2 linked regions of the Macaca mulatta genome follow. The protein of the gene in region 1 interacts with the protein of each later gene in a biochemical or structural test. Links are inferred from orthologs where the notes say so. Each region holds a gene or a part of one and is shown on either strand. Other genes may lie near its edges.

Region 1 (3,813 bases):
CATTTTTAAAGAGTAATTTTTGTTATTTTTAATTTTTATTTTAAAAATTAACAACCAATAATTCAAAGTGTTAAATAAATTGAAAATTACATTTCGAAAAAATCATTCAAAACTGCCTAATATGTTCCACAGGCACATCAGAACACCTTATCCTTGATATTTTAAGTGATATTTTACTGCTATACTCCCTCAATTAAATGATTATGCTTCACCCCATGACTTTTCAAAAATGCAAATTTCCCAAATAGTTCTAAAACAAAATTATTAACATATTACAGTAAACTGTGATCCTAATGCTAAACTTTAGAATAAATAAACATAAGCAGGAAAATATTCATATAGTATTTAGGGTCTGATTTTATCATTGTGAGAATGCCTACTCCTGAATATAAAACTCTAAAGTTCCAGTAACAGCAGCTGTACAGCAGCTTTAACATTCCAACACTATATCACCAGTCCAAATACTTCCAGACTTTCATGACACCTTCATCTGCTTCTAAAACTTCTCTGACACCTTACATTCAGCTTCAAATGTAACATGCCTGAAACAAAGCTGTCTCAAATCTGTCTGTCTTCTCCTTTTTTCTGGCTCCATAAATGGACCTGCATCCTTTAAATATTTATAATATTCATTTAAAAGTTTAATAAAGAAAAGTATATTAAGTTACATACCTGCTTTTATGCCACAGCTCTGTCATTAGTTTGAGATAACTTTTACAAATGGCAGGTTTCTTATCTGTTCGTGCTAATCCTCCACAATCAAGAAAAAACTGTGTCAAAGGTGGGCTAATTTTAAAAAGAGAAAAATGTTAGAGTGGAGTCAAAGCTAATACTGATTATTTCTGGTCATTCAATTAACTGACAACACGTACATCCCTATAGCTGTCATTTCTTTCTTTGATCCCTTTTACAGCTTCACTTTCATTCCTTCATAAAGAGCTCAGTCCTTTCAAATCAGATTTGGCCCCACCATATCAAGAGTCCTCCATGCTGCCAGATACACTTTTCAGTCCCCACTCAGTAACATTTGCCACAGACGACCATGCCCTCATTCTTTTTTTTTTTTTTTTTTTTTTTTTTTGAGACGGAGTCTCGCTCTGTCGCCCAGGCTGGAGTGCAGTGGCCGGATCTCAGCTCACTGCAAGCTCCGCCTCCCGGGTTCACGCCATTCTCCTGCCTCAGCCTCCCGAGTAGCTGGGACTACAGGCGCCCGCCACCTCGCCCGGCTAGTTTTTTGTATTTTTAGTAGAGACGGGGTTTCACCATGTTAGCCAGGATGGTCTCGATCTCCTGACCTTGTGATCCGCCCGTCTCGGCCTCCCAAAGTGCTGGGATTACAGGCTTGAGCCACCGCGCCCGGCCATGCCCTCATTCTTGAACAAATCTTCTCTGGACTATTGTATGCATTTTCCAACTTTCCCTCTTTACCTCTTAAAATTACTTTTTCCTCTTTATTGCTCTTTTTGGCCCCAGACATGTAAATGTAAGGATTCCTCAGGACTTGATCCTATGACTTTTCCCTACATACTTTTCTTCCCTGGGCGATCTAAAATTTTCAACCATATTCTAATCATCATCAAATTTATATAAAGTCAACCATGTCATCTAAATTTCAGATTTATATCAAATGCCCAAACTGAACAGGATAAAAATTTAACTTTCAACTGAACCTGCACTTCCTCCAGCCTTCTACATTCCATTATTTGGTACTAATATTTGTTGGTGGCTCAAGTTAGCAATTTATAAGGAAGTATAGTCTGTCATGAGTTTGATTAGCTTGAGGGAATCTCCATTAATCTATTTATAGAAAACTGACTGGGCAAAGGACCAAATTCTGACCTACATAAACCAAACCCCCTATGAAGGCAGTTAGATAACTACTAAGCCATCTCTTTGCCAAGTGTAATCCTTTTTTTTTTTTTTTTTCGGTAGAGACAGGGTCTCGTTAGGTTGCCCAAGCTGGTTCCAGAACTCCTGGGCTCAAGCAATCCTCCCACCTTAGCCTCCCAAAGTGCTACAGGCATGAGCCACCACACCCAGCCACCAATAGTGTAATCATATCAGCCACATCTTTTTCAATGAAATCAGAGGAATTACAAAGTAAATCCATGGAAGCAGTATTGTGCAATAATCAACAAAAGATCTACAAAAACAAACATACACATAAAAATCTCAGATTCAGAATTTTGTCCCTGCCAGGCATGGTGGGTCATGCCTGTAATTCCAATACTTTGGGAGGCCAAGGCAGGACATGACTCAAGGACAGGAGTTCAAGACCAGCCTGGGCAACACAGCAAAAATCCATCTCTACAAAACTTTTAAAACATTATCTGGGAGCAGTGGCATGCACTTGTGGTCCTAGCTACTTGGCAGGCTGAGGCAGGAAGAGCCCTTGAACCCAGGAGTTCAAGGCTGCAGTGAGCCATGATCGTTCCACTGCATTCCAGCCTGGGTGACAGAGTAAGATCCTGTCTCTAACTTTAAAAAAAAAAAAAAAAAAAAAAAAAAAAGGCCGGGCGCTGTGGCTCATGCCTGTAATCCTAGCACTTTGGGAGGCCGAGGCGGGCGAATCATGAGGTCAGGAGATCGAGACCAACCCGGCTAACATGGTGAAACCCCATCTCTACTAAAAATACAAAACTTAGCTGGGTGTGGTGGCCGGCGCCTGTAGTCCCAGCTACTCAGGAAGCTGAGCTGAGATCACATCACTGCACTCCAGCCTGGCGACAGAGCGACACTCCGTCTCAAAAAAAAAAAAAAAAAACCAGAATTCCGCCAGTACTTACTAGCTGGTTACAATGGCAAAGTTATTTAAACTTCTGTGTCTGGTTTTCTTATCTGTATAAAAATAACAATAGCAACAACCTACAGGTCTCTTAGGATTGTGTTGTTAAACTTGAACCTCCTCTCCCTTTCTCTACCCACATCCTATCAATCAATCATCCTCCTAAAAATGTTTATCTCCAATTCCTTCACTCTTTTCCTACCACCCTAGATGATGTAAACTACCACTACTTCTTGCCTAAATCATTATCATAGTCTTCTAGCTGGTCTTTCAAATTCCACTCTCTTCCCCCTCCAATTCACTGTCCACGTGGCAACCACAGTAATATTTTTAAAATATAGATTATTAGCTACCCTACTATACAAACACTTCAATGGTATTGTACTACTATGAGAATAAAGACCTACATCTTTAATGTGGCCTACATAACCTAGACCCTTGTCGTTCAGCCCTATGATTACTGTACCCTGTCACACAGATTTTCTTCCAGTTCCTCAAATGTGTCAAGCTCTTTCCCATCCCAAGGCTGCTTACAAGGAGCATTTTGCTAGGAATGCTCTCCCCATCCTTTCAAACAACCAGCTCATACTTATTCCTCAAGTTTCAGAGTAAATGTCTCTTCTTTTTTTTTTTTTGAGACGGAGTCTCACACTGTCACCTGGGCTGGAGTGCAATGGTGTGACTTTGGCTCACTGCAACCTCCACCTCCAGGGTTTACATGATTCTCCTGCCTCAACCTCCCAAGTAGCTGGGATTACAGGTGCACACCACCACACCTGGCTACATTTTTGTATTTTTAGTAGTGACAGGGTTTCACTATGTTGGCCAGATTGGTCTCAAACTCCTGACCTCGTGATCCACCCGCCTCAGTCTCCCAAAGTGCTGGGATTACAGGTGTGAACCACCACGCCTGGCCTAAATGTCTCTTCTTTAACGTCCGAGCGCAGTGGCCCATGCCTATAATCCCAGCACTCTGGGAGGCCGAGGCAAGCGAATCACTTGAGCCCAGGAGTTGGAAACCAGTCTGG
Region 2 (3,813 bases), on another chromosome or scaffold:
TGGAAGGACTCAAGTCTTCTCTTTCCTCTGCCACAGATACCCCAGAATCTTCCATGCTCTGTCACACTGCAGCCAGGACCAGAGGACACAGGGAAGGTATGGGAGGAACAGCTCTGAGGGCTCCCAGGGCAGGACAGGGGCCAGCAGGAGCCTGGAGGCACAGCTGAGCCAGAGGGTGAACTGTCGAGATGCCAGGGTGGGGCCGAGGGTAGGCCAGTGTCTCCGTGGAAGTGGGGTGTGTATGGTGATGCACGCGTGACCCTGCCTTCTGCTCTCTGGACCTGCATGGATCTGGGGATGGGGGCTCCCCTTGCCCCTTGCACTACCATGACCAAGCCTCTGCCAGGTTCGGGGCTTTGGAGAGGAAGACTTGGTCGCCAGGGTCGTGAGACCACAATGGGGCAAGCATCCCTGCCCAAGAGGAGGGAAGGGGGAGGAAGGAAGGGGAGTGATGGTGGCGGGAGCCTTGGGTAAGATGTGGCCTTTTCTCCCCCTCCTGAGGCCTGCGGCGTAGACTTTGAGATTCGAGCCTTCTGTGCTAAATCACTAGAGGAGAAAAGCCACAAAAGGTGAGGGACGCGACCTCCTCTATGATGTAAGAGGAGGCTTTCCAGGAGCCCAGGCCCCGTGCGGGGGAGGAGTAGGGGTCTAGGTGTCTGAGGATTGACCCCCTTCTGCCCCCACCCCCATCCCAGGAACTCTGTGCGACTGGTGATCCGAAAGGTGCAGTTTGCCCCAGAGAAACCCGGCCCCCAGCCTTCAGCAGAAACCACACGCCACTTCCTCATGTCTGACCGGTCCCTGCACCTCGAGGCTTCCCTGGACAAGGAGGTGGGGTGTGAGAGGGTGACGCGGATGCCACGGTGCAGTTTAGACCCAGGGGAGGGGGGGCGAAGCCACACGTCAAGATGACATTTGTAAAGGAGGTTGCCTTGGCTGGATGTGGAGAGTTGCCGTATGCTTGGGTTTGATGGGAGGGGGCCAGAACAATGTGTTGTGTTTGGGGACACACTGATGATGGGACCAGTAAAAACCAGATCCAATTCATATGACCCCCTCCCCCCAAAAGCTGTACTACCATGGGGAGCCCCTCAATGTAAATGTCCACGTCACCAACAACTCCACCAAGACCGTCAAGAAGATCAAAGTCTCTGGTAGGAGGTGGGGTTTGGAAGGGGGTCTTTGGGGAGGGTGTTACTGCACAGGTGGCTCCTGGTGTGATCTCAGCCCAGGCCATTTCCCAGGGCGGGAGACCCACCAGGGCTCAAAGAATTTAGGTTGTTCCAGAATGATACAGGGAGCCTCGGTGTTTACTGCTTCCAGGGGGGAGCATGGAGGGGCCACGCCACGGGGTCTGGAGTTGTGTTGTGGGGGTGGCTTGTGCTCCATCCAGAGCTGCCTGACCCTGTCCCCCCCCACAGTGAGACAGTACGCCGACATCTGCCTCTTCAGCACCGCCCAGTACAAGTGTCCCGTGGCTCAACTCGAACAAGAGTGAGTATCGGGAGAGACCCAGTTCCCAGTCTGGGGGAGAAGAGCAGGATCGGGAGAGTGTGAGGTGGGGGAAGAATTCTTCCTAAGCCATCGCCACTATTTTTTTTTTTTTTTTTTTTTTTTTGAGATGGAATTATTGCTCTTGTTGCCCAGCCTGAAGTGTGATGGGGCAACCTCTGCTCACTGCAACCTCCACCTCCCAGGTTCAGGCGATTATCCTGCCTCAGCCTCCCAAGTAGCTGGGACTACAGGCATGCAACACCATACCTGGCTTATTTTTATTTATTTATTTATTTATTTTTGAGACGGAGTCTCGCTCTGTCGCCCAGGCTGGAGTGCAGTGGTGTGATCTCAGCTCACTGCAAGCTCCGCCTCCCGGGTTCAAGCCATTCTCCTGCCTCAGCCTCCCGAGTAGCTGGGACTATAGGCGCCCGCCACTGCGCCAGGCTAATTTTTTTGTATTTTTAGTAGAGACGGGTTTCACTGTGTTAGCCAGGCTAGTCTTGAACCCCTGACCTCAAGTGACCCACCCGCCATGGCCTCTCAAAGTGCTGGGATTACAGGCGTGAGCCACTGTGACCAACCACCATCTTCACTTAAAAGGGTATTCCCTCTACAACCAGGCACCTCTGGGTTGCTAATTTTCTTGAGCACGTTGAGCCACAACCTACTCCCTTGTGACCTGTGCCCAAAGAGAGAAGGGACTGGTGAAGGGGAGATGCTGCTTGGGGGTGATAGGCCGCCCCTCGCCCAGTCCAGCCCCTTGAAGCGTCTTGTTCTCTTGTTCCCACCCCCAGTGACCAGGTATCTCCCAGCTCCACGTTCTGTAAGGTGTACACCATCACCCCGCTGCTCAGTGACAACCGGGAGAAGCGGGGTCTCGCCCTGGATGGGAAACTCAAACACGAGGACACCAACCTGGCTTCCAGCACCATGTGAGGGTGGGGCTGGGGCGGGTCCCCCACAGGCCAGGGGCCAGACGTCAGTTGAGTGCTAACTATGTGCCAGGCCCTATCCTAGGTGCCAGGGAGGTACAGTGAACAGAAGAGACAAAAAGAACTCTTACATTCTAGGAGAGGGAGGCTAGACAAATCCGATCAGTGGTCACTGTACGGCAGGTTTAGTGACAAGTATGAAGGAGAAAAAGCCAGGCAGAGAAGGGAGGGATGGGGCGCAGTGAGATGCAAAGGTGAATTGGGAGTAAGGACCCAGCGGAAGTAAGCAACATGGGTGAGCAGGAAAGGACAGTTCTGGGCAGAGAAAAAACAAAGACTCAGAGGTGGGGCAGCCTGGAGTGTTGGAGGAATGGGGAGGTGCCATCGTGCCCTCGGGCAGGAGCAGCCCTGGAGGTCCTCAGCTTCACAAAGGGCTGGATTTCACCTTCCCCGGTGCCTTTGTTCAGGGTTCTCACTGCACAGCCACATACAACAGGCCCGGAAGGCAACTTATCAAGAACTAAGTAGCAGGAGAGGAGGAGGAGGTGAGGTCAGGGGCTAATGGAGAGCCAGACGGTGCAGTGCTGTTAGCGGAGAAGGACAGCTTTTACGGGAGAGAAACCACAGGAGGCTCTGCACGGGGAGTGCAGCGCGCACTGTACCGTAACCGCACGCCCGGGCTGCTGGGGCCCCGCGGGCCTGTGCGAGTTTGTGGTCCTGCCCAGAGGCCCCATGGGAACCCCACGGTGGGCCAGGTGACAGGGGGATGGGCCCTGGTCTGACTCCACCACCGCAATTGCAGCGTGAAGGAGGGTGCCAACAAGGAGGTGCTGGGAATCCTGGTGTCCTACAGGGTCAAGGTGAAGCTGGTGGTGTCTCGAGGCGGGTGAGTGTCATGGGGGGTCCTGGGTGGGGGTCACACTGGCTCTCGATGGTCCTGTGTTGTCATCCTCTTCACGATCCCTCTCCCCTTCCCCAGGGATGTGTCTGTGGAGCTGCCTTTTGTTCTTATGCACCCCAAGCCCCGCGACCACACCCCCCTCCCCAGACCCCAGTCAGGTGAGCACACCGCCCACCCCAAGCCCTCAGAGGGAGGGCCTGAAGCAGGGCCAGTGGAGGAAAACTGGCCCTTCCAGCACCCACCCCCACACCCCCTCTTCCCATCCCCCCAGCCGCTCCGGAGACAGACGTCCCCGTGGACACCAACCTCATTGAATTTGATACCAAGTAAGAAACTCATTCCCCTACGTCACCCTCTTGGGACAAAGATTCCTGCCACATTCAAATCTGCCCTCATACCTCTTCCTCGCTTTCTGGGGGGAGAAGGGGATTGCGGCGTCAAATCAAGATGCTTAGCCTTGTGAGGCTGCCTCTTGCTGCCTTT

The links.
Region 2: of the proteins of USP33 (region 1) and ARRB2, one has a biochemical effect on the other in vitro, tested with the Homo sapiens proteins (2 studies listed by BioGRID, with this or other methods). The link is inferred for Macaca mulatta from reciprocal best matches to the Homo sapiens genes USP33 and ARRB2.

The regions. Positions count from the first base shown.
Region 1 is NC_133406.1:162,808,205-162,812,017, reverse strand, and holds part of USP33 (ubiquitin carboxyl-terminal hydrolase 33), read right to left. Parts: intron 787-3,813; coding exon 673-786; intron 1-672. UniProt on the Homo sapiens protein: Deubiquitinating enzyme involved in various processes such as centrosome duplication, cellular migration and beta-2 adrenergic receptor/ADRB2 recycling.
Region 2 is NC_133421.1:6,246,603-6,250,415, forward strand, and holds part of ARRB2 (beta-arrestin-2), read left to right. Parts: intron 1-36; coding exon 37-96; intron 97-501; coding exon 502-569; intron 570-695; coding exon 696-831; intron 832-1,069; coding exon 1,070-1,154; intron 1,155-1,421; coding exon 1,422-1,494; intron 1,495-2,291; coding exon 2,292-2,429; intron 2,430-3,231; coding exon 3,232-3,315; intron 3,316-3,408; coding exon 3,409-3,488; intron 3,489-3,565; coding exon of another isoform or gene 3,566-3,601; coding exon 3,602-3,656; intron 3,657-3,813. UniProt on the Homo sapiens protein: Functions in regulating agonist-mediated G-protein coupled receptor (GPCR) signaling by mediating both receptor desensitization and resensitization processes.